7 linked regions of the Oryctolagus cuniculus genome follow. Each later gene encodes a partner of the first gene's protein in a complex. Links are inferred from orthologs where the notes say so. Each region holds a gene or a part of one and is shown in the gene's direction. Other genes may lie near its edges. The genes, in order: SNRNP40, USP39, LSM4, GPKOW, CWC27, CRNKL1 and TXNL4A.

What was found.
Region 2: SNRNP40 (region 1) and USP39 share a complex: the UniProt entries of both Homo sapiens proteins name them as parts of the U4/U6-U5 tri-snRNP complex. The link is inferred for Oryctolagus cuniculus from reciprocal best matches to the Homo sapiens genes SNRNP40 and USP39.
Region 3: SNRNP40 (region 1) and LSM4 share a complex: the UniProt entries of both Homo sapiens proteins name them as parts of the U4/U6-U5 tri-snRNP complex. The link is inferred for Oryctolagus cuniculus from reciprocal best matches to the Homo sapiens genes SNRNP40 and LSM4.
Region 4: SNRNP40 (region 1) and GPKOW share a complex: the UniProt entries of both Homo sapiens proteins name them as parts of the minor spliceosome. The link is inferred for Oryctolagus cuniculus from reciprocal best matches to the Homo sapiens genes SNRNP40 and GPKOW.
Region 5: SNRNP40 (region 1) and CWC27 share a complex: the UniProt entries of both Homo sapiens proteins name them as parts of the minor spliceosome. The link is inferred for Oryctolagus cuniculus from reciprocal best matches to the Homo sapiens genes SNRNP40 and CWC27.
Region 6: SNRNP40 (region 1) and CRNKL1 share a complex: the UniProt entries of both Homo sapiens proteins name them as parts of the minor spliceosome. The link is inferred for Oryctolagus cuniculus from reciprocal best matches to the Homo sapiens genes SNRNP40 and CRNKL1.
Region 7: SNRNP40 (region 1) and TXNL4A share a complex: the UniProt entries of both Homo sapiens proteins name them as parts of the U4/U6-U5 tri-snRNP complex. The link is inferred for Oryctolagus cuniculus from reciprocal best matches to the Homo sapiens genes SNRNP40 and TXNL4A.

The regions. Positions count from the first base shown.
Region 1 is NC_091438.1:141,074,675-141,078,876, forward strand, and holds the start of SNRNP40 (U5 small nuclear ribonucleoprotein 40 kDa protein), read left to right. Parts: upstream 1-1,402; 5' UTR 1,403-1,467; coding exon 1,468-1,611; intron 1,612-3,495; exon of another isoform or gene 3,496-3,632; intron 3,633-4,202. UniProt on the Homo sapiens protein: Required for pre-mRNA splicing as component of the activated spliceosome. Component of the U5 small nuclear ribonucleoprotein (snRNP) complex and the U4/U6-U5 tri-snRNP complex, building blocks of the spliceosome.
Region 2 is NC_091433.1:117,025,007-117,028,506, reverse strand, and holds part of USP39 (ubiquitin carboxyl-terminal hydrolase 39), read left to right. Parts: intron 1-209; coding exon 210-435; intron 436-3,082; coding exon 3,083-3,160; intron 3,161-3,500.
Region 3 is NC_091447.1:65,592,636-65,595,312, reverse strand, and holds the end of LSM4 (U6 snRNA-associated Sm-like protein LSm4), read left to right. Parts: intron 1-30; coding exon 31-72; intron 73-294; coding exon 295-393; intron 394-1,391; coding exon 1,392-1,575; intron 1,576-1,758; coding exon 1,759-1,850; 3' UTR 1,851-2,177; downstream 2,178-2,677. UniProt on the Homo sapiens protein: Plays a role in pre-mRNA splicing as component of the U4/U6-U5 tri-snRNP complex that is involved in spliceosome assembly, and as component of the precatalytic spliceosome (spliceosome B complex).
Region 4 is NC_091453.1:34,249,268-34,252,381, reverse strand, and holds part of GPKOW (G-patch domain and KOW motifs-containing protein), read left to right. Parts: intron 1-233; coding exon 234-343; intron 344-1,082; coding exon 1,083-1,308; intron 1,309-2,709; coding exon 2,710-2,842; intron 2,843-3,114. UniProt on the Homo sapiens protein: RNA-binding protein involved in pre-mRNA splicing. As a component of the minor spliceosome, involved in the splicing of U12-type introns in pre-mRNAs.
Region 5 is NC_091445.1:85,773,957-85,777,456, forward strand, and holds part of CWC27 (spliceosome-associated protein CWC27 homolog), read left to right. Parts: intron 1-1,123; coding exon 1,124-1,236; intron 1,237-3,449; coding exon 3,450-3,500. UniProt on the Homo sapiens protein: As part of the spliceosome, plays a role in pre-mRNA splicing. Probable inactive PPIase with no peptidyl-prolyl cis-trans isomerase activity. As a component of the minor spliceosome, involved in the splicing of U12-type introns in pre-mRNAs.
Region 6 is NC_091442.1:44,666,546-44,670,045, reverse strand, and holds part of CRNKL1 (crooked neck-like protein 1), read left to right. Parts: intron 1-665; coding exon 666-824; intron 825-1,271; coding exon 1,272-1,438; intron 1,439-3,500. UniProt on the Homo sapiens protein: Involved in pre-mRNA splicing process. As a component of the minor spliceosome, involved in the splicing of U12-type introns in pre-mRNAs.
Region 7 is NC_091441.1:283,671-287,705, forward strand, and holds the start of TXNL4A (thioredoxin-like protein 4A), read left to right. Parts: upstream 1-1,235; 5' UTR 1,236-1,376; intron 1,377-1,989; 5' UTR 1,990-2,009; coding exon 2,010-2,162; intron 2,163-4,035. UniProt on the Homo sapiens protein: Plays a role in pre-mRNA splicing as component of the U5 snRNP and U4/U6-U5 tri-snRNP complexes that are involved in spliceosome assembly, and as component of the precatalytic spliceosome (spliceosome B complex).

The DNA.
Region 1 (4,202 bases):
CAAGCCCTACCTCGAGCTCTAGATTAATCTGCCCAATTCTCCGCAGATGCCCGGCTCCCTCAGTTCTCCTTGACGACATCTCTGACCGGCATCTCTGTACATCCTCGTAAGTGACCTTTCTGCATCCACTAGGGTCCCTCCCATCCCAATCTGCTCACACCACGAAGCCTGAGGGATCAAGCCACCTCTGCCACTCCTCCGCCAGGCCCTGCTCCCCAGAAAGGATCCTCAGCGATTTCCCAGCCCCGTCTGAAAGGAACAAGGACAGATTCCTGCACAGCCTCTACAGCCTCCAGCTTCACCCTGTACCGTACTCCCCTTCACTTCCTCCGTAGCAGCACACTGGCTCTTTGTGCCCTTGTCACTTTCCTTCCAAACGACACAGAACCTCTGCACTTGTTGCTCCAAATAAAGTGCTCTGCCTTCCTCTCTCTACCCAGCTACACTCCTTGCCTGTAGACAGCAGCACAGGCACGTTTTGCTCAGAAAAGCCTTTTCATTTCAGGCACTCGCAGCATCAGACTTCTCCCCTAGCACTTCCGTTTATCAGGGAGGTCGTTGTGTGGTATCTGTTATCCCCACCACACTGAGAAGCCCTGAGATCGGGGACTGCGTTAGGTTCAACGCTAGGCAGAGAGAATGCTAAGCCGGACAACCGCGAGGCCCAGGTTCACAGGTATTATATGTCAAATTTCTTCAACAAGACCACGATCTGGAGAAGGAGCCGGACATGTCCGTCGCCACTGCCTCTCGCGGGGCATGGAGCAGGCCCTAGTAAAAGACTGCAGAATCAGAGGCACACACACACGTCAGCCTCCTCGGCCACACAGGCACTGGCGGCGGCGGGGATACGAGCCTTACCCCCCTAAGAACGCCTGACCCAGGGCTGGCCGCAGCAGGCGCCTGCCGATCAAGGCAGCGGTGCAGGGTCCCAGGCATCCGGCGCCGTCTGCGACCTGCCGTCAGGGACTCCAAAGCTCCACTTCTGCGCGGTAAAGGGAATATTTACCAAAGCTGAGAATTCGAGGCCCGCCCCCCGCCCTTTGCTAGCAACACCTTCGGCTGAAAGGCAGGCTCAGGCCGCAAGGCTGTGGCGTCGGCTCCAGTTTAGAGCCATCAGCTACCCCTCAGCTACCTCATACTCACTTAGCGTCAGCTTCAGGTCTCCCAGCCGCGGCATCGCGCGAAACGCCAAACCCAGTCAGCCAGTTCCCACCCACAAGACACAGCGCGCCTAGGCGGGACGCCAGCTCCACCCACCAATCCTGAGATCACGCTCCCGTGGCGTCAGAAGGCTATGACCAATAACAAGAGACTATTCAGAGGGCGTTGCAGCGGGGAATGCTGGAAGCCGATTGGTTCATTCAAACAGGAAGTCCTGGAGGAAGGACAAAATCGGAACCAATCGCACGGCGCCTAGAGCTGTCGGTGTGGTCAGTGGCGGCTCTGAGGAAAGCGTCTGCCGCCATGATAGAACAGCAGAAACGAAAAGGCCCAGAGTTGCCGCTGGTCCCAGTCAAGCGGCAGCGCCATGAGTTGCTGCTGGGAGCGGCGGGATCGGGCCCCGGAACAGGGCAGCAGCAAGCAACGCCGGGAGCTTTGCTGCAAGCGGTAAGTGCGGTGGCACGCGGCGTCGGGCCCGCAGTTCATCTTCCTGCTCCCTCCGAGCGCTGCACTGGGCGGTCCGGCACTGGGGGGACAGGGGGCTCTACGTAGAGTTCAGGGAGCTAAACGTTGTAAGAGCGCCCGGAGCCCTGCGGGTGCCCCACACGTTTCCTCGTTTGAGGTCCGTTTGTTCGTCTCGTCTGCCCTGGGAGGGAGCGATGGAATTGGGGTTAATCTTGGGCCCACCGCTGAGACCGGGCCCATCTTGGGCGTCCTGCATCCACGAAGAAGTTGGTAGAGTGGGTGGACGAATGAATGAGGGCGGGAAGTAGATGATGCTGACTCGGATCGGGATACTGGGCAAGCTACTTAGCCCTTGTTTCTCTGCGGTAATGTTACTAACAACAGCTGGGTGATAGCGAACATTCAAGGATCCCTGTACCGATGCCTTGTATAGGAAATCTCCGTTAATCTTTGTAACTGCCTGTGGGTTAGGAACTGTTACCCCATTTTGCAGACGGGAAAACAAACTCTTATCTAGATGTTGAACTCGGAATCCATGCCCTTCACTCCATTTCTTGTAAGATAGAGACAGGGAGCACACCTCTCCCGCTTTGCTCGTGATATTGGCCTCTCAACTCTTAAACCAAATCCTTGTGGCATCTGCCGCAAAATATATCCGGTATTGTTACCACTTTGACGGCCTCCATCCCTGTCTCCTGGTCTGGCATGACTGTTGTGTGGTCCTCATTGGGCTTCCTGTTTCTGCCGTCTTAGGGACAGTCTGTTAACAATCCAGCAGCCAGAGTTGTTCTTCTAAATGTCAGATCACTTTGCCCTCTGCCGAAAACTTTCCAGTGGCTTTCCAATTCATTCAGAGTAAAAACCAAAGTCCAGGGGCTGGCACTTGGCATAGGAATGAAAGTGCTGCTTAGGATCCATTGCTTCCATTGGGTTTGACTCCGAGTTGCATTCCTGATACTGTTGCATCCACTCATCAGCTAAAACAGAATATTAGAAAAGCCAGTGACAGTCACACAGGAATTTTATTGAAAGTGAGAGGCAAGGTAACCAATCGGGACCGGTAACCTATTGGGTCTGACACTCCTTACCAGAGTACGGCCCCCAACAGTGGTTACACAGCTTTTTATAGTATTCTGTCCACTAGGGCTCACAATTTCCAACCGAACCTCTGGTATACAGTGAACAATAAAAAGAAAACCAGAATATGGTTGTAAGATAACAGTTAGCAATAACAAACCTGGTAACAAATCCAAGATGTGGTTGTAAGATAACAGTGAAGGACACATTTCTGTCAACCTAGTTCCTGGGAATTTGGGCCCACATAGTTTCACAAGATACACCCTTAGCCGTTAGCAGGCAAAGCTAACATGTACAGAAGCAAGAGATCTGCAGTTAGCTTTTAGCCATCTCACTCCATTTTGATTTTGACACTACAATACCATCTTCATGCGCATCTTGGGAGGCACCAAGTGATGGCTCAATAGTTGGGACGCTGCAACCCCCATGGGAGACCTAACTTGAGTTCCAGGCTCCTGGTTTTGGCCTGGCCTGCCCCAACTGTTGCAATCCTTTGGGGAGTGAACCAGCAGAAGAGAATGAGCTCTGTTTCTCAAATAAATTAAAAATTTAAAAAACACACAGGTGGCCAGCTTTGTGACACTTGGGATGCCCACATCCCACATAGGGGTGTCTGTACTCAACGTTTTCAATCCAGCCTCCTGCCACACATGTGGGAGACCTGGATTGAGTTACCAACTTACAGGCATATGGGAAATGAACCTGTGAATGGGAGTTTTGCCCCCCCATCTCTGTGTATATACCTTTCTGCCTTCCAAATAAAATAAGGTAAATAAATACTACTTTGGAGCATGGTAATGGATTTATGGTGGGCCCTTCTCTGTGGGCCTCTCATAGTGTACCCATGCCAGAGTAAATGGCAGCCTCGAACCATTGCCCAGCTTCCTTGTATGTGGACTGTGAGCACTGATGTAGGTTGCACAATGTGTAAGAATAAATAAATAAATAAATACGACTTTGCCTAATAATCTGTACCCTCAGATTGTTGGGAAGATCAGTCTAGTCATTCATTAAATGATCCAGAGACTGAGAAAACAGTGTCAAGACACATAGGCAGGATCCCTATACTCATCAAGCTTCATTTCTCTGAGGGGAAAGACAAATATACGAGCAAATACATGGGGAAGATAACTTCACTTAAAGCTAATTATTGTACTAGAATGCAGTGGAATTCATGAATTTTAGGTAGAAGGTGGGATGCTACTTAAATTTGAGTTATCATGGAAAGATTTTTGAAAGAGGAAATATTTGAAAGGAGCCAGATCTAAGGAGCATGAATTCATGCCAGAGGCAATTGCAAGTATAAAAATCCCAAGGCCAATATGAGTTTAAGATCTGAGCAATCAGAAGTTGACTGGAACAAGAGCAGGATGAGGGAGAGATACTTGGAAGTTGAGGAGAGTGTCATATTGGAGGCATGAGAGCAAAGCTGCCATTCTCTAAATAATAAAACCTGTTCAGTCACTGTTACCCTGGTGTTTTTCCTCCATGGCCTA
Region 2 (3,500 bases), on another chromosome or scaffold:
TGCACCACAGCGCCGGCCCCAAAGAAAGGATATTATTAAATAAATTGTTCAATGCTTGGAGATTTGAATACCTTTTTACAAATTCCTTTGTGATACCCACATCAGCACAGTCTTCATAGAACTGTGCTTCCTACCAGATTCAGTGGGAAGGATGTTCTGAATAGGATTCTCCAGAGGGCTTTGGATTAATTGGAATATTCTATTTGCAGGCACTATCTAATGTTCCTCCTCTCCGGAATTACTTCTTGGAAGAAGACAATTATAAGAACATCAAGCGACCTCCAGGGGATATCATGTTCTTATTGGTCCAGCGTTTTGGGGAGCTGATGAGAAAGCTCTGGAATCCCCGAAATTTCAAGGCACATGTCTCTCCCCACGAGATGCTTCAGGCTGTTGTCCTTTGCAGCAAGAAGACTTTTCAGATCACCAAACAAGGTAAAAACGGTCACTCCTGTTGCTTTGACAACAAAACTAGTTTAATGAACAAATTTATTCACTTTTTTTTTTTTTAAAGATTCATTTATTTATTTGAGAGGTAAAGTTACAGACAAAGAGAGGGAGAGACAGAGAGAAAGGTCTTCCATCTGCTGGTTCATTCCCTAAATGGCCTCAACGGCTGGAGCTGAGCCAATCTGAAGCCAGGAGCTTCTTCTGGGTCTCCCACACTGGTACAGGGGCCCAAGGACTTGGGCCATTTTCTGCCTTCCCAGGCCATAGCTAGAGCTGGATCAGAAGTGGAGCAGCCAGGACTTGAACAGGAGCCCATATGCGATGTTGGCACTGCAGGGGGCCGCTTTACCTGCTACGCCACAGCACTGACCCCTATTTTCACTTTTAATAGTGAATCTTGATAGTAGCCAAATGAGTGACTGATGTACAGCATGGTTAGGTTCCTCACTTCTCTCTGATTGAACTAAGCAATACATTTATTTGGATGCAAAAATATTTGAAATCTGTATGATGTTTTCATAATATGCATCATCTGTGAACTTTCTGAAGACCCTTTTTGTTATGGCATGGCTATTGATGGTGTTTGGGAGTTTACAAGATAGCAGTAAAATGTTCCTCTGAGAACACCTTGCCCTGTGACCAGGTGACAACCAAGCTGTGTAGGACCATTGAATTCCAACAGCTAGCATGGCTAGGGTATTAACCTTTTTTTTTTTTTTTTTAAGATTTATCTATTTATTTGAAAAGCAGAGTTACAGAGAGAGAGGGAGAGACAGAGAGAGGTCTGCCATACACTGGTTCACTCTCCAAACTGCCGCAGCAGCTAGGGTTGGGCCTGTCTGAAGCCAGGAGCTGCTTCTGGGTCTTGCACATGAGTACAGTGGTCTAAGCACTTGGGCCGTCCTCTGCTGCTTTCCCCTATGCATCAGCAGGGAGCTGGATCAGAAGTAGAGCAGCTAGGACTTGAACTGGCGTCCGTATGGGGTGCTGGCTCTGTAGTTGGCAGCTTAACTTGCCATGACGCAACACCTGGACCAGTTCTGTCCATAGTCCCGGCTTTTCATATTAAGGCTGCATCAGGTATGAAAGTTTTGTGGAGAGATTTTTTCTGAGCTGTTGATGGGCCAGCACTGCATTCACAGTGCTCCGTAGATGACTCCTGGCCTAAGGGTGGATGCTGGAGTTGCCCAGCTTTCGACAACACTGGAAAGCTAAAACATCATTGGTTGGAAAATCAGGGTGGCCAAAGAATAAGCTTACCCAGTTTCTCCTGTCACAGCATTGTTGGGCATGATAATTATGTTGTCACACAAACATAGTGTATATATCCCATAGAGTATATATCCCATAATTTCTTTATCCAGTCTTGTTGACAGGCATTTAGGTTGATTCCATGTCTAAGCTATTGTGAATTGAGCTGCAATAAACATGGAGGTGCAGATAGCTCTTTTATTTGTCGATTTTATTTCCCTTGGGTAAATTCCAAGGAGTGGGATGGCTGGGTCGTATGGTAGGGCTATATTCAGATTTCTGAGGTGTCTCCGAACTGTCTTCCATGGTGGCTTTAGCCAGTTTGCCTTCCCACAAACAGTGGATTCAGGTACCCTTTCCCCCACATCCTTACCGCATTTGTTGCTTGTTGGTTTTTGTATGAAAACCATTCTAACCCAGGTGAGGTGAAACCTCATTGTGGTTTGATTCGCGTTTCCCTGATGGCTAGTGATCCTGAACATGTGTCTGTTGGCCATTTGGATTCCCACTTTTGAAAAATGTCACTTTAGGCCGGCGCCGCGGCTCACTAGGCTAATCCTCTGCCTTGCGGCGCTGGCACACCGGGTTCTGGTCGCGGTCGGGGCGCCGGATTCTGTCCCGGTTGCCCCTCTTCCAGGCCAGCTCTCTGCTGTGGCCATGAATGCAGTGGAGGATGGCCCAAGTACTTGGGCCCTGCACCCCATGGGAGACCAGGAGAAGTACCTGGCTCCTGCCATCGGATCAGCGCGGTGCGCCGGCCGCAGCGCGCCAGCCGCGGCAGCCATTGGAGGGTGAACCAACAGCAAAGGAAGACCTTTCTCTCTGTCTCTCTCTTACTGTTCACTCTGCCTGTTAAAAAAAAAAAAAAAAAAAAAAAAAGAAAGAAAAAGAAAAATGTCACTTTAAGTCACTGGCCCATCTCTTAAGTAAGTTTGTTTTGTTGTTGTGGAATTTCTTGATCTCTTTTTAGATTCTGGTATTAATCCTTTATCAGTTGCATAATTTGCAAATAATTTCTCCCATTTGAGACAGGAATCTTTGTCAGCTAGAGAAAAGAACACAGAAGCCTGAGCTTACCCTGGAGAAGTTGTTGGTCATTGGTTTTGGCCGTCCCTGGGTAATGAGACTCAATTTGGGTTAGAGATGAAAATTGAACATGCTAGTGTGGCTCAGAGAGCCTGGTGAGAGAGGAAAGATTGGAAGAGCGACAGCTTGACCTTGAAGAGCGCCAGCAGTAAGTGTTCAGACAGGAGGATAAACAGGACCAGGGTGATGTGGCCAGAGAGGAAGGAGCAAATCCAGGAATGGAGTCACGGAGTCGTGGTGTGGGTTTCCTGAATGACTGCCAGCCTCAGTGTGTGCCACCTTTCCTTTTTTCCAGGCGATGGAGTCGACTTCCTGTCTTGGTTCCTGAATGCTCTGCACTCAGCTCTTGGGGGCACAAAGAAGAAAAAGAAGAGTAAGTCATGCTGCTTGTACAAAGAAGCTCTTGTTAGCTCCCTTTAAAAAACTTTGCAACTTTCCATTCTTTTGTTCTTAACTGTTTATCTTGTGGGGGCAGGGGGGGAGGGTATCTGTCGTACACACAGGCTAAATTTTCTTCCTGAATAGGCCTTATGTTAGTCTTTTTCATAATGTAATGAAATTCTTGAGGCAGGCCAACATTGTAAAAAAAATAAATTTTTTTAGCTCAGTTTTGGATGCTGAACACCCAGATATCATGTCACAGGCCCTGACGAGGGCCCCATAGTGGATGATAGGAATATATATATAAAGAATATTGATATAGGAGGCCAGAG
Region 3 (2,677 bases), on another chromosome or scaffold:
CGCACAGTCCCTGGCACGCTTGCCTTTCAGCTTCCCCTGTCGCTGCTGAAGACGGCGCAGAACCACCCCATGGTGAGTGTGCGGGGGCCCTCCCGCCCTCCCGTGCGCAGCCCTGCGCCCGCAGCAGCCGGGAGCTCCCTCCAGTCCCCCGCGTGGGTGGGGGGTGGGCGGCAGGGGGCGCAGGGACTTGGGCTGGGGTGCGCACGCGCGGGAGGTGGTCCACGGGCCTCGCGGGGTCGCAGGGCCAAGCCGGGCCCCCCGGGCGTCTACACCTGCGGCCCCGACTCCCGGCAGCTGGTGGAGCTGAAGAACGGGGAGACGTACAACGGGCACCTGGTCAGCTGCGACAACTGGATGAACATCAACCTGCGGGAGGTGATCTGCACGTCCAGGGTGAGGCCCGCGCCGCCCCGCCCCCCTGCTGCCCCGCCCCGTGGGCGTCACCCGGCCAGCAGGAGGAGGGCAGTGCCCCCACCGCCGGGACCTACCGGGTGATGTGGGAGGGGCGGGGCGGCTCCCCAGGACCCACTGAGGGCCTCCCCCCGGGCTGTGAGCCCCTGCAGACCCCGGGGTGGCCGCCAGGCCTGGGCTGCCCCGCCTCCCGGTGGGAGGTGCTGGGTCAGACCCCGGGGTGGGGTGGGGTGGGGTGGGAGGGACCCGGCGCCTCCCCAGGGTTGGCTCAGCCCCCGGGCCCTGCTTCCAGATCCCCGGCGCCCGCGGGGAGGAGTGACGTCCCGGCCTGTCCTTGGCCACTGTGGAGCCAGCGTGGCGCTGGAGCTGGGCCCCATGGGACCGCCCTACTTGTGTCTGGCTGGCCTTGGGGTCCCCACTGGGAGCCCGCCCTCAGCGGCCTCGGCCGGCGACGCCCACCCAGCCGCCCGGGGAGCAGCTGACCGGAGGGGGGGTTCTGGCCGGGAACAGCGCCTGCAGGCACCGTGCGGGGCTGGTGGCCAGGGCGGGGCCGGTCCCGAGCTGTGTGGACCTTGTCCCTGTGCAGGGGCCCGGGCGGGGGTGTGGCCGGGAAGTGCCAGGATTGCATCTGTGGGACAGGGGCACACAGGGCTGTGGGGTGGGGGCGGGGCGTGCTGGGGGTGCCCCTCTCGGCCCACGGCACCGGTCACTGCCCCGCTGGGCCGTGGCTCCGTCGGTGCCCTGCTCAGGCCCAGAGACAGCTCTAGAAGGGGGGCTGTGGGCAGGGGGAGTGGGGGGTGGGAGAGACCCAAGCAGCCTCACTGGGGGCGGGGCTTCCTGGCTGCCCAGGGGCCAGACAGGCCCTGCGCGGGGGGGGGGGGGGGGGGCGCCCGGGGGGGGGGCGCCCCCCAGCCTCGGCCCTGGCCGCAGCTCAGGGACCCTCCGCCGGGCCGGGCGTTGACGCGCTGCCTCCGGCCCAGGACGGGGACAAGTTCTGGCGGATGCCCGAGTGCTACATCCGCGGCAGCACCATCAAGTACCTGCGCATCCCGGACGAGATCATCGACATGGTCAAGGAGGAGGTGGTGGCCAAGGGCCGCGGGCGCGGGGGCCTGCAGCAGCAGAAACAGCAGAAGGGCCGCGGCCTGGGCGGCGCCGGGCGAGGTGCGGGCAGGGCTGGGCGGGGCGGGGGAGGTGCGGGCGGGGGGGGGGGAGCGGTGCTCCCCTAGGCCCTCAAGCCCTGGTCCTGGCCAGTGGCGGAGCCCCTGTCCTCCCTGGGCCCTTGTCCCGGCCCCCGCCGCACAGCTGGGGAAGCTGAGGCCAAGCCGCCTCTGTCCGTCCCTGCAGGTGTGTTTGGCGGCCGGGGCCGAGGCGGGATCCCAGGCACTGGCCGAGGCCAGCCAGAGAAGAAGCCGGGCCGGCAGGCGGGCAAGCAGTGAGCCGCGCCCCCCGAGACCGAAGCCCTGCCCCGCTGCGGGACCCTCTCCTTCCGGCCGGGCCGCCTCGCCCCCCCCCCCAGTGTGGACACCTGTGTGGTGGTGTTGGTTTTGTGAAGCCCCCGCCCCGAGGCCGGCCCGGCTCCGTGGATAGCTCCGTGGATAGCCCGGCCTGCACCTGCTGGCACGGCCCAGGGCCGGCCCCTCCCGCACGGCGACAGGCCCGCGGGGGCCGTAGTGTCGCCTTCCAGACGGAGTGGACGGGGCCGGCCCATGCGCCTTTGCTTCCATTTCTCTGTGTTCTGAAAATAAAGCCCAGTCCAGCCTCAAGGCCCCTCGGCTTGCGTCCGCCCTGCAGCCCTTGGGCCCCAGGAGACCACATCTGGGGGCCCCGACCCGGCCTGGGGGCTCCACAGGGGCTGGGGGGGTCTCCCGAGCTCCTGGCCCGGCTTGTCCTGCGGCCCCTCCCGTCTTGATAGAGAGTCGGGGAGGGGGCACCCTGGCTGGAGCCACTGTCCGGCCCGCTGCCCCCTCTCTGTTTTCCCACCAGGTGTCACCTTGGTGATCGCCCCCCAACCTCAGGGGGGGCAGGGGTTCCGGTCACGGCCGGGGGGGGGTGACGCAGGGGAGGCCTGGGTCCCCGCTTGGGCGTTCTCCGGTCACGGCCGGCCGAGGCCCGTCTGGAGGGGCGACAGCATTGGAGGGACGTAAGTGCAGCCCCCACGGCTTGGGGCTCCCGGCTCTGCGGCCCACAGCTCCGTGGTGGCGGCGTCTTAGGGGCCGGCGCCGTGGCTCAGCGGGTGAAGCTCCGCCTCGACCCCCCAGGACCG
Region 4 (3,114 bases), on another chromosome or scaffold:
TTGGGTAGTTGGGTTCTTGCCTATCAAGTGGGTTGATTTCCTGGCTCCTGGCTTCAGCCCAGCCTAGTTGCAGCTGGGAGCTCTCATACTCTTTCTCTCTCTCTCTCTCTCTCTCTCTCTGTGTGTGTGTGCATGTGCACGCGCGCGTCTGCCTCTCAGATGCACATACTCACACGCATAGAAAGCCAGTGTTTGCAAAATCTGACGCTCCTTCCTCTTCCTGAACCCATTAGGTACCAAAAGAAGCTGATTATGAGGCAGTCTCTGTGGAGGCCTATGGACTGGCCATGCTGCGGGGTATGGGCTGGAAACCTGGTGATGGCATTGGACGCACTTTCAGTCAGTGAGTTTTGGGCTAAGGGTGACGGGGTGGACGGATGGAGCTGTGAACAAGCGCCCCCCCCCGCCCCCTGCCGCCACCACCCCATGGTGACTGCCAACCCAGAACCCTTCAGGCAGGGAGAGAGGATACATTATTCCCCTAATTCAGTAGCCTCTTCCACTCCTGTTTCCAATTCCTCATTTGAAAAGTGGGGGTAACAGGATGGACTTCACAGGCCTCTCGTGAGAGTTTGATGAGATGATACCCATAAAGCACATTGAATAGGCCCCCACCCCAAGTAAGCACAGGCTAAGTATCTGCTTTTATCACACGGACTTACAATCCCTTCTCCACAATTGGAAACTCCAATGAATTTCGAAAAGCAGACAATTTTTCACAAACCATGTGGCAGCCGAACATGATCTGCATTGGCATTGAGCGTTCTTATAGCCTGTTTCTCCTGTCTGGCCTGACCGGGCATATGATTTCTGCTGTGGAAATAGAAGGTTACAAGGAAATGCTTGGTTATGAGGGCCTGCCTCAGATGCCACCGTAGATACTGTATAATATGTAGTGTATGCAGCATGGTGTTAAGTTGAAACAAATGAAGTTCCATTTCTGTAGGTCCAAAACAATCCGAAGTGAGAGATTGGAAAGGGCATTCTTGAACATTCGATGGGGTAGGATTTAGCAGGGGAGAGAGGAAGCCACTGAAGGTGCTTGTATCCCGTCCCCAGTAAATCCATATTCCTTCACGCAGAATAGTGAAGCCCCGTGTCAACTCATTGAGGCCCAAGGGGTTAGGGCTGGGCGCCAACCTGGCTGAGATGAAGGCCTTGACCTCCACCAGTTCCAGCTGCCTTCCAAGAACAAATGTGGACCAAGATCAGGATGACGGGCAGGATACGACAAGGCAGCCCGAAGGGCTGAAGACGGGGACAGCTGTGACGGTCGTTTCTGGCCATTACCGAGGCCGCTACGGGAAGGTAAGGAGCCAGGGTGTCCCTGGAGACCAAGGAAGATGGATTTGAGGGTCGGAGGCAGGAAGCATCGGGTTTGGGGTAAAAGGGCTGGAAGTCCAGGTCTTTTAGGCCTGCCTGGCACACTGCTTCACTAGGTAACACGGCAGGGCCACTTGCTAGGTTTTTCTGAGCTTCAGGTGCCAATGAAAAGGGAGCAGGGCAGGTGTTTGGTGCAGTAATTAAGACGCCACTTGGCATGCCCATATGGAAGTGCCTGGGTTTGAGGCTTGGCTCCATTCCTGATTCCAGCTTCCTGCTGGTGCCCACCCTGGCGAGTGGCAGCTAATGGCTCAGTTACCTGGGGCCCTGCTCCCATGTGGAAGCACCGGATTGAGTTCCCAGCTCTTGGCTTTGACCTGGCCCCCAGCTCCAACTGTTGTGGGCATTTGGAAAGTTAACCAGCAAATGGGATAGCTCTCTGTCTTTCAAATAAATTAAAAAGCTAATTTACAAAAGGGAGTTAGGGGGCTGGCCCTGTGGCATAGTGGGTAAAGCCGCCACCTGCAGTGCCAGCATCTCATATGGCCATTGGTTCGAGGCCTGGATGCTCCACTTCTGATCACGTTCTCTGCTATGACCTGGGAAAGCAGTGGAAAATGGCTCAAGTCCTTGGGCCCCTGTACCCGCGTGGGAGACCTGGAGGAAGCTCCTGGCTCCTGGCTTCGGCTCAGGGCAGCTTTGGCTGTTGTGGCCAAATGGGGAGTGAACCAGCAGATGGAAGACTTCTCTCTCTCTCTCTCTCTTTCTTTCTCTCTCTTCTTGTCCTTCTTTATGTGCAACTCTAACTTTCAAATAAATAAATAAATCTTAAAAAAAAGGGGGGGGGAAGATTCGGGCTGTAGCACTGGGTGTTAAAGCCCTGGCATGCAGCATTGGCATCCCATAAGGGCACCAGTTCCAGTCCTAGCTGCTCCATTTCCCATCTAGCTCCCTGCTAATGTGCCTAGGAAAGCAGCAGAAGGTGCCCCAAGACCTTGGGCCCCTGTACCCACGTGGGGGACCTGATGAAGCTGCTGGCTCCTGGCTTCAGCCTGGCCCAACCCTGGTCATTGCAGCCATTTGGGGAGTGAACCAGTGGGTGGAAAATCTGTCTTCTCCTCTCTCTCTCTCTCTCTTCCAAATAATCTTTTTTTAAAAATGAAAAAAGGAGTGAATAGCAATCATCACGAGTCTCTGAGGATTAAATACATAAAAAATGTCTGTACCCCACCCAAGAACCAGACCCGGTCCCAGCTTTTAGGGGGTCACAAGTCGGTGGGTGAAACAGGGGTCAGGTGTGTTGGAGGTAAGAGATGGACAGCTTGGTCCTAGGAATGTGGGTGGAGTCCACTTAACCTCGCTAACTTCTTCCTCTTGACGTGGTAGGTTGAAGGCCTTGACCCTGACAATGCTCGGGCCATGGTGCGTCTGACAGGGGAGAACTCTGTGGTGACTGTTAGTGAGTACTGCCTGCGCCCTGTCTCCCAGCAGGAGCATGATGAGAACTCCATGGATCTCAGTGAGTGGGCCTCCTGAATCCCCGGAGGGGAGGCAGAGAAGGGAGAAGTGCTCTGGGGCAGGAGGGGCAGGGCCTGTGTCTTGCAATGGGTTTTCCATCTGCAGAGGGGAGGGTAGCCATCTGCCTGGTGGCTGGGATTTCCTGCCAGAGGTCAGGAGGCAAAAAGAGATCTGAGTGGTTTATTTCAGTGGGGGAAGAAAAAAAAAAGTCGATCTAGTATCCCTGGGTTTTTAGCCTTTCTCAGAAGGAAAAGAAACAGGTGGGATTTTTTG
Region 5 (3,500 bases), on another chromosome or scaffold:
TCGTATTCAGTCAAACTCGAGTTCTTGCTCCCCACCAAATTCTTTGCTTCACTGAGATGCCATGCTTTCTGCCATATCCAAGTTAACTTCTTTCTTCTCTATCAAGACTTCCTAATGATTCTAGAGTCCAGATACTCATACTACAGGAGATCATATATAACCTATCCTGTATGTTTATGACTTCTAAATTGTATATTTATATATAAATGTAAATAATTTCATTAATTTAGCAAACAGATTTGTAGTCTAATTGGACTCACATATATATTATGTTAATTATTTACCTTGTTTAGTAAAAGTTTCTTGTGGAGAGTGCATTGATGGTGGTAGACCTACAATCTGAATAATTTTGATATATTGTGTGTTTGTTTGTTGTTTGCATATTAATGAATTAATTCTCCACGGAGTGAAGAAAAGAAGTAGGAAATAAGAAAAGCAGGAAACTGGATCAGCAACAAAGTAGCCAGGGCTCAAACTGGCACTCCCATAAGAGGTTCAGACACCCCACACAGTGGCTGAACCTACTGCACCATAATGCCTGCCTCTCTGATATTTCTAACAATTTCTTTTATAACTATTTTCTTAAATTCAGGATTCAATAAAATATCACAGATTTCATTTGCTTGATATGTCCCTAGTTGTTGTTGTTGTTTTAAATATTTATTTATTTATTTGAGAGGCAGAGTAACAGAGAGGGAGAGGCAGAGAGAGAGAGAAGTCTTCCATCTGCTCATTCACTCCCCAGTTGGCTACAGCTGCTGGAGCTGGGCTCATCCCAAGCCAGGAGCCAGGAGCTTCTTCCAGGTCTCCCACATGGGTGCAGGGGCCCAAGGACTTGGGCCGTCTTCTACTGCTTTCCCAGGCCATAGCAGAGAGCTGGATTGGAAGTGGAGCAGTCGGGACTTGAACTGGTGCCCATATGGGATACCGACACTGCAGACGGCAGCTTTACCTGCTATGGCACAGTGCCAGCCCTGATATTTTTTAAGAAATAGGAAAAATAAAGTATTGGTTTGGGAGCTGAAGAAAACCAATCTTGGATCAAGTTGTATATTAGCTCTGACAATGGTAGATGGGCTTGATTTTAGATATTGCTAAATTATTTTTGGTTTTTTTTTTTCAGCTTATTATGACAACACCATTTTTCATAGAGTTGTACCTGGTTTTATAGTTCAAGGAGGAGATCCTACTGGCACAGGGACTGGTGGAGAGTCTATCTATGGAGCCCCATTCAAGGCAAGTGAGCTTGGAATGCTTACTCAAAAACGATGTGTCCCTTAAGAAAAAAAATTCCAAAAAGAAATGTTAGTATGCAAAATCAATGTCTGTCACATATTTAAGATTACACAGCATAAGAACAACACTTTTCCCATCAAGCATTCTTTGTAAGTTGTCTTAATGTAAGATTTTATACTAGAATTAATTCAGGGGGAACTCAAGGAGGTAGTGAAAAAGACATGGTTCAGAATAAAGATAGAGTATTTCCTGATGTCTGTCTGTATTGAATATCTGCAGCTCTGTAAATGAAAGCATTTTTTAAACACTGCATATGCTATTCTACTTTAAGTTTTATGTAAACAGTATCTGGAATCTGTAGTAGACTGCTCATCCTGCTATCACCAAATACCAGGCTGGATGGCTTCAACAGTAGGGTTTGTTTCTCATGGTTCTGAGGCTGAGAAGATCAAGCAGTGGTTCGCGGTCAGGTCTGTTTTTCTGGCTTGCAGATGACTGCCTTCTCTGACATCCTCACAGTGGAGAAGGGAAAGAGAAGTCTGGAATCCCTTATTTTTATAAGGACGCAAGCATTATTGGACTAGGGGCCCATCCTTATGACATTGTTTTAACCTTTATTACCTCCTCACGGACCAAAATATAAGTGACATTGTGGGCTAGGAGCTCAGTGTATGAATTTGGGGGTTACACAATTCAGCTCACAGAAGAATATATTCTAAATCATGCACAATAGATCTCGCGGCACAAAATGCACACCACAATTGAAAAATCACAACAGGAAAAGCAACATAAAAAGTGTTAGAAAAAGATACATTAGGAATAGGTCAGTGATTTCTTAACTACCAACAAATCTTAGAAGAACAATGAGGTAATGTCATAGTTAAGATAGAAAGAACTGTGTGTTCAAGTGAAAACTAAAATTTGTGTTCATTATTAACTGCTGGTACCTGTATCATGTTCTTTGAATGAATGAACATCAAAAGCTCTTAGAATTTAGAAGTTTTTGAAAACTTCATATTTCTGTTAATGGGGTAGAATGTCTGGAGTTTCCTTTCTTCTCTGAGTTACTGTGTGAGTCTTCAGAAAAATACTTTATGAATTGTTTGCTTTAATTTCCAGATGATAATGGCCTTAGGAAATAGGAAATGATTATGAAAAAATTTAGATGTCAAGTTAGCCTATTTATATTTACCAAAGTAAAATGACTCATAGTTTTAGAGCCTCTGTCTAGTAGGAAGCATTCCTTTATTCTAGTATTTGGTGTAACAGAATAGCTTTTTTTACAATTCCTTTCTGATTAATTTTTTGCTTTTTTATTTTCATATACTACAATTATTTTGTTAAATTTTTATGTTAGGTAATTTAAAATACAGTATATAGAGTAATGATTCATTGAATTCAGATCTCTTTGAGAATTAACTTATTAAGGAAAAATAACTTCATTTATGACAAGCAGTGATTACATTCATGGCTACATTATACATAATGCAAAATCAGGTCTGGATGGAAATTCTGTGTACTCAATCTTAGCCAAAAGGCCTAGAACCATTGGATATTCTGTAAACAAAGTGGCTTATGTATGTGTTAAGTAACCCTATCATGCAAGATAACCATCTTAGAAAGGCTTGCTCCTGCCCTTTCGGAAACTAGCAGATTGGACCAATGCCAGTTCAGAGAAGATTCAGCTTAGGGCTTCAGTGAAGTCACAGTGAAATCATTTAACATAATCAGAATAAATTCCTTTAATTAAAAAATGAGAAGAAAGCAATTGTTTTACGACATTTATAATGAGATGATGACTATTACCTGAAGACTCTGCAATGACTCAACATTGTTTTCTTGAAGAAAAAAAAGATTTTAAAAGCTTGGATGGTTTTGAGGGATAATAATAGGGAAGTGAATCTTAGAAATCTACTCCCAAATGAATACCCTTCCCCTGCATGTTAGTAGACAGCTTTCCACAAAATATGCTGATCTGTGGCTGAGTATGTCTAGAATATACTTATAGGTTAGTGATTTCTAGTTTAAGTGCATTAAAAGTATAAATATTAGACTTGATTACACTTAAAAGTCAGTTAAATTAAACTTATCATTTTTGTTAGTATTTTGAGATTTTGTTAGTATTTTGAGATCTTACTGGTCAGGTAAATAATCAATTGAATTTGAAATATCTTATAACTGAGAACATTCTCTAAATATTTTTTGTACCTCAGGATGAATTTCACTCTCGGTTGCGTTTTAATAGGAGAGGACTGGTTGCCATG
Region 6 (3,500 bases), on another chromosome or scaffold:
TAGTAATGTCCAACTTTCGTTTCCTGGAGCCCTGCGGTTCCTTCAAAGGGGCTTGAGGGGCACTGTGTTAGTATGGTCTGGGGTGAATGGCAGGCGGAGGTTGTAAGGTGTAGCATTCACTCTGTGTCTAATTCTATTTATTGAAAATTTGAAATAAAAATGTTCCACCCAGTACCAGTGGTGAACAAGCTGAAAATCACGACCTGGCCCTTGTCCAGCCTTTCCATACCCTCACAGCCCCTGCTTGTGCTGGGCCTAAGTTCTCAGCACACTCTGAGCACATCATTTCTCCTTGCCACGTTACTTTCCAGTTCTGTGTGCCTGGGAGGAGCACACCTTCCCACCAGCCTTGTCCTGGTAAACTCGGCTGTCCTCATGTTCTCCGTTCTGGAGTTACCTCCACTTAGCTCATTCAGCAGACATTGCCATTTCTGTGTCTGCTTCCTCTGCAGGACTCGACTGTGACCTGCATTGTAATCACACACGTGTTTATCTTTCCATAGATTTTGTAAGCTATTTGAGAACACCATCTTTTCGTTTTTTTATGCCCCAAACCTGACTTACAGTAAACACCCAATAAAACATCAGGGCATTGCCGGTAGCTTGATGTAACTGCCATGCATTGTCTGTTCTGCTTCTGAGACCCTCACTTCTTGCCTCCTCAGGGCTCGCTCCATATACGAGCGTGCTTTAGATGTGGACTACCGAAATATTACGCTCTGGCTGAAGTATGCAGAAATGGAAATGAAAAATCGCCAGGTCAACCATGCCCGTAATATCTGGGACCGGGCCATCACGACTCTGCCCAGAGTCAACCAGTTCTGGTAAGTCCTGATCTAGCAGAGCAGCCTCTCAGACTGGAAAATGCTGTTGTGTTTGTTTTACTCACACAGTTTATTGTTTAGATTAATGTTGCAGTCTACTTTTACTTTAAACATCCTGTAAGAGCTTTATAATGCCTTATAGTTTATTAACTCATAATCAAAACGTTTAATAGCTAATCACATGTGATCAAAACTAAAGTGCTAATTGCAATCATTTGTGCCTAAAAACTTCACATTTAACTAGCAACTTTTAAGAAAAAAATGTTTTCCTAATAGTTCATCTTGTTCAGATTTATATTTCATTAAGAAAATGTTTGCATTAACCGTTAGGAAAGATAAAACCTTAAGTTTTTTCATTAAATAAAGGGAGAACTAGAAATTGTCAAAGATGGTGTTTGCACTAAGACGCTTGGAGTACAACAGGTGTCTTGGGTCACTGTGTTGAAGGTACAAGTACACGTACATGGAGGAGATGCTGGGGAACATTGCGGGTGCTCGCCAGGTGTTTGAGCGCTGGATGGAGTGGCAGCCCGAGGAGCAAGCCTGGCACTCCTACATCAACTTCGAGCTGAGGTACAAAGAGGTGGAGCGGGCCCGCACCATTTATGAACGATATATCCTTTGGATGAGCTCTGAGTGGTGCACTGCCCTGGGGGCAGCTCTTGTCATGGCCGGGACACAGAGTCGTTAATGGGAAGTTCCAGATCCTCAGACTAGAACCAGCGCCCATATGGGGTGCCAGCGCCGCAGGTGGAGGATTAACCTAGTGCACCACGGCGCTGGGCCCTAAACCCATCTTTAAAAACACAAGTCTCACGGCCGGCGCCGCAGCTCACTAGGCTAATCCTCTGCCTGCGGTGCCAGCACCCCAGGTTCTCGTCATGGTCGGGGCGCCGGATTCTGTCCCGATTGCTCCTCTTCCAGGCCAGCTCTCTGCTATGGCCCAGGAGTGCAGTGGAGGATGGTCCAAGTGCTTGGGCCCTGCACCCGCATGGGAGACCAGGAGGAAGCTCCTGGCTCCTGGCTTTGGATCAGCGCAGTGCGCCGGCCGTAGCGGCCATTTGGGGGGTTACCAACAGAAGGAAGACCTTTTTCTCTGTCTCTCTCTCTCACTGTCTAGCTCTGCCTGTCAAAAAAAAAAAAAAAAAAAGTAAAAACATAAGTCACAGACAAAACAAAAATATAATGAATTCCTTAAACTCCTATTATGTTAAATTTGGAGGCAGCTTTAGACTTTTCCTGGTGGTCACCACTCACTGAGTTCTTCTAATAGGTAATAACAACTCCAGACAAGCAGCCTGTGTGTATTCCTAACACTTCACTTACATTTAAGGCTAGAATAAGCCCCAAGTAAAACAGTGAAGATGTATATAGAACTGGTAGTTCTTACATGATTTTAAATCAAGATACATGAATTTAATGTACTTTAATGTAGGCAAACTATCCATTTCTTGTCCACTTAACTGTTGTGAAAATAGCATCCCTCTCCTACACACTGATTTCTTGACCCAAATGGAAATACTTAACCTAAGGTCAAGATGGGAGAGAGATGACTAAGATGAATGTCCATGGCTGGCGCCACGGCTCACTAGGCTAATCCTCCGCCTGCGGCGCCGGCACACCGGGTTCTAGTCCCAGTTGGGGTGCTGGATTCTGTCCCGGTTGCCCCTCTTCCAGGCCAGACTTCTGTTGTGGCCCGGGAGTGCAGTGGAGGATGGCCGAAGTGCTTGGGCCCTGCACCTGCACGGGAGACCAGAAGAAGCACCTTGCTCCTGGCTTTGGATCGGCGCTATGCGCCAGCCTTAGCACACCAGCCGCGGTGGCCATTGGAGGGTGAACTAACGGCAAAGGAAGACCTTTCTCTCTGTCTCTCTCTCTCACTGTCCACTCTGCCTGTCAAAAAAAAACTGCAGGGGCCAGCACTGTGCCATAGCAGGTAAAGCCGCCACCTGCAGTGCCAGCATCCTATATGGGCGCCAGTTTGATTCCCAGCTGCTCCACTTCCGATCCCGCTCTCTGCTATGGCCTGGGAAAGCAGTAGAAGATGGCCTAAGTCCTTCTGTCCCTGCACCCATGTGGGAGACCTGGAAGAAGCTCCTGGCTTTGGACCGGCACAGCTCTGGCAATTGCGGCCAACTGGGGAGTGAACCAGAGGATGGAAGACCTCTCCCTCCCTCTCTCTCACTCTCACTCTCTGTCACCCTGACTTTCAAATAAATAAATCTTTAAAACAAAACAAAAAACCCTGCAGAGCAGCTTTAGGACCAGTGCCCTTAACACCTTTTGCCATGTGTAAATGTACTACTTTGGAAATCAACGACTTCTTCAAGGAAGTGAGATTAAAAATAGTTATGTTCTGTTAGATAAAGTGGCAATGTAAAACATATTCCTTTGGCTCTAGTTAGCAGTGTTATTTTTGTGGCTTGTTGTTTCTTCTTTAGTTGTTAGCTCAAATAATTTTTTTAAATTATTTAAAGGGAGAGGGAGAGGGGTGGGGGTGGGAATGTATTTGCTTCCATCCACTGGTTCACTCCACAAATGACTGTAATGGCTGGGGCTGGGCCAAGCTCAAGCCAGGAGCCTGGAACTCCATCTGGGTCTCCCAAGTGGATGTGGGGGCCCAGCTACTTGGGCCATCATCCACTTCTCTCCCTGGCACATTTGCGGAGAGCCAGA
Region 7 (4,035 bases), on another chromosome or scaffold:
GAGGACAATGAGATCGGGAATACGCATCCCTCGTGCCCCCAAACGTGTTTACTTCCTCTTCTATATCCCCAAAGTGCCGCGGACAGAGCCTGAGAGCTACGAATTTTGGAAAGCCAGCTTGGCTTCTTTCTTAGGAACGAGAAGAGTAGTCAGGGGTGAGGACTTCCGATACCAGCAACCCCCATGGAGTGCTGGTTCGAGTCCCAGGTGCTGCACTTCCAATCCAGACTTCCTGCTACTGTGCCCCGGGAGGCAGCAGCAGGTGGCCCCAGTGCTCCTGGCTCCCGGCTCCAGCCCGGGGCAGCCCTGGCTGCGAGGCCGGAGAAGGAATGAACCAGAGGTTGGAAGATCTGTCTCTGATAAATCACTCAATCTCGGGCCAGTGCTGTGGTGTGGCGGGCTGCCATCCCAAATGGCACCAGTCCGAGTCCCGGCTGCTGCACTCCGGATCCAGCCCCCTGCTATGGCCTGGGAAAGCGGCGGAAGACGGCCGAGTGCGCGGGCCCTGCACCCGCGTGGGAGACCTGGAGGAAGCTCCTGGCTCCAGAGGGGCCCGTCTGGGAGTGAACCGCGGGTGGAGGCTCTCTCCCCTGCCTCTCGGTCTGCAACTCTCTCAAACGAATAAACTTACAAAGGACAGACTGGGACGTAGGGAGGGGCTCCGTGGGGCACAGGCGCTGCCCCCGCCCCGCTCGCACCCGAGAATTCCGACTTCGTCCTCTAACCCTTGGGGCTAGCCTTGTCTCAGAACGCAGAATTGTTTCTGCTCCCGACGCCGCCCGCCCGCCCGCCCGCCCGAGCTCTCCCAGAGCTGAGCCCCGACGGGCGCCGGCCCTCGCGGAACGTTCTGCATTAGCAACTTCTCCCCTCAGGGCGCGGCCGCAGCGCCGGGGCTCCGCGACGTCACGGCAGGGCCGGCCACGGCGCTCACGCGTGGGCCGCTGCCGCGCGGCCGCCAGCCCCGCCCCGCGCCATCACAGACCGGAAGACCGACTGAGGGAGCCCCGGTCGCTCTTCACACGTCACCTGGAGCGACGTCACGGTGACGCCACGCGCTCCCGCGGGAGGCGACCAGGCTGTCCGTGGCGGGAGCGAGCGCCGAGGACGGCGACCGGCCGGCGCGCGCTGCTGGGCCAGGGAGGCGGACACCAGGGGCCAGCCCGTCCGGTCGCGTCCGAGCCGAGCCGGACGAGCACGCGACCGGGGGAGCACGCGGGGCCCGGGACGGCCGCGCCCCCAGGGCCGCCGCCCATTGGCCGCCGCCGCGCGCCGCGTCCTGACGCACGCCGCACGCACTGCGTCGAGAGCGCGCACGTAGGCGTCGCGCGCCCGCGCTGTAGGTGCTGTGGTTCGGGAGACTGTGGTGTTGCCGGAAGGTGCGTGGGGACTCCGTGGGCTCGGCGGGCTGCGGGCGGGCGGGGCGGGGGTCTCGCCAGGCACTCGAGGGCGGTCTGGGCCGGGCGGGGGGCTCGCCGGGCGCTCGGGGGCGGCCTGGGCCGGGCGGGGGGCTCGCCGGGCGCTCGGGGGCGGCCTGGCCTGGGCGGGGGGCTCGCCGGGCGCTCGAGGGCGGCCTGGGCCGGGCGGGGGCTCGCCGGGCGCTCGGGGGCGGCCTGGGCCGGGCGGGGGGCTCTCCGGGCGCTCGGGGGCGGCCTGGGCCGGGCGGGGGGCTCGCCGGGCGCTCGGGGGCGGCCTGGGCCGGGCGAAGGGCTCTCCGGGTGCTCGGGGGCGGCCTGGCCTGGGCGGGGGGCTCGCCGGGCGCTCGGGGGCGGCCTGGGCCGGGCGAAGGGCTCTCCGGGCGCTCGGGGGCGGCCTGGGCCGGGCGGGGGGCTCGCCGGGCGCTCGGGGGCGGCCTGGGCCGGGCGAAGGGCTCTCCGGGCGCTCGGGGGCGGCCTGGGCCGGGCGAAGGGCTCTCCGGGCGCTCGGGGGCGGCCTGGGCCGGGCGGGGGGCTCGCCGGGCCTCCAGGCGCTGAGCGAGACGCCGCCCCGCAGGCGTCGTCCCCGTGCCCGCCATGTCGTACATGCTCCCGCACCTGCACAACGGCTGGCAGGTGGACCAGGCCATCCTGTCGGAGGAGGACCGCGTGGTCGTCATTCGCTTCGGACACGACTGGGACCCCACGTGTATGAAGATGGACGAGGTGCTGTACAGCATCGCGGAGAAGGTAGGCGGCGGCTCCCGGGAGAGGACTCAGGCCGGCTGCGCGGCCCCTGCCCCGAGCGTGCGCTTCCGTCTCCGGGGCTGTGTCCATGCCCCCCACCCCTGCCTCATGTCTGTGTCCAGGCCCCCCACCCCTGCCTCATGTCTGTGTCCAGGCCCCCCCACCCTGTGTCTGTGTCCAGGCCCCCCCACCCTGTGTCTGTGTCCTGGCCCCCCACCCCGTGTCTGTGTCCAGGCCCCCCACCCCTGCCTCATGTCTGTGTCCAGGCCCCCCCACCCTGTGTCTGTGTCCTGGCCCCCCACCCCTGCCTCATGTCTGTGTCCATGCCCCCCTCCCCGTGTCTGTGTCCATGCCCCCTTCCCCGTGTCTGTGTCCAGGCCCCCCACCCCGTGTCTGTGTCCATGCCCCCCACCCCGTGTCTGTGTCCAGCCCCCCCACCCCGTGTCTGTGTCCATGCCCCCCCTCACCCTGTGTCTGTGTCCTGGCCCCCCCACCCCGTGTCTGTGTCCAGGCCCCACCACCCCGTGTCTGTGTCCAGGCCCCCCACCCCTGCCTCATGTCTGTGTCCAGGCCTCACGCCCCATGTCTGTGTCCAGGGCCGCCCCTCCAACCCCGCATCTGGCCCCACCCGCCTCTCTGTGTCTGGGTCCCCCTCCCTGTGTCCGGCCCCTCCTCCTGTGCCCAGGGACCTTCTCAGGGTCAGGTTGTTGAGGTTGCTGCCGCCCTCGCTGGGACCTTCCTGGGCTGACCGTGAGCAGCTGAGGGAGCGCGGGCCTGATACTTTGTTCACTTGCTGGGGTTTGGTTTGTTCTTCAGTATTTATGTGAAGGGCAGAGTTAGAGTCAGGGCCTGGGCAGGTCAGGGGCTGGGTGGTGCTTGCTGCCCGCCCAGGCACATCAGCAGGGAGCTGGATCGCGAGTGGAGCAGCCGGGGAGACTTGAACCAGGGTCCATGTGGGATGCTGGTGTCACCCACAGCTGCTTAACCCGCCCTCGGTGTTAGAATCAGTACCCAGGTGGTCTGGGCTCGTCTGCTGACGTAGCAGTGCGCCTGTAGGGCAGTACTGTGTACTCTTGTGTTCTGTGTAAATAGGACGGTTTTAGGGAACTTATTTGGCAGCACTGTTAAGTGTTAGTAAAATATTTAATGTTGATGTTTCATAAATAACTTAAGTGAAGAGCGGCAGCAAAGCAGCCCTTTCTCGCCTGCCCTCCGTCGGCGCAGGGGTTCAGGGCCCCTTCCCAGTGCTGCCCAGGTTCTGGTGCTGTGGGCTCTTAGAGGCGCTGCCCAGGTTCTGCTGAGACGTGGCCTTGGGCCACACTCTCAGGAACCCCTCGGGGTCGGGCAGAGCGGGATGCCTTAGTTACCTGCCCTTCTGCCTGTCCCTCTGGGCTCCAAGAGAGCAAGGGCAGAGGAGTGCTGGGGAGCCGGGGCTGTGTCAGCAGCAGCACAGAGGTGCGCACATTCAGCAGGGAACCACTGCAGTGGCGGATGGGCACACCTGTCGTGTGGTCTGCGTGCCCTGTCTCCCTCGTGTCAGCTCCTGCTGCCAGCACGGTGCTCTCGGCTGGGAACAGGTGGCCGTGGCTCCTGGAGGGGCTCAGGGACCTTGCTGGATTTCTTTCTAACCTGTTAGTTAAGGACTGAGTCTCGTTATTAGTGCACACACACTGTGTGGTATCGAACCTGTTCATTAGGACATCGTAACTGGGCTCACTTCTGAATTTTTATCTTTGTTTTTTTTTTTTTTTTTTTTTTTTTTTTTTTTTTTTTTTTCAAATTTTTATCCAAAAATTGGGATTTTTGATACTTCTTTTTTTTTTTACAGGCAGAGTAGACAGACAGAGACAGAGAAAGGTCTTCCTTTTTCCAATGG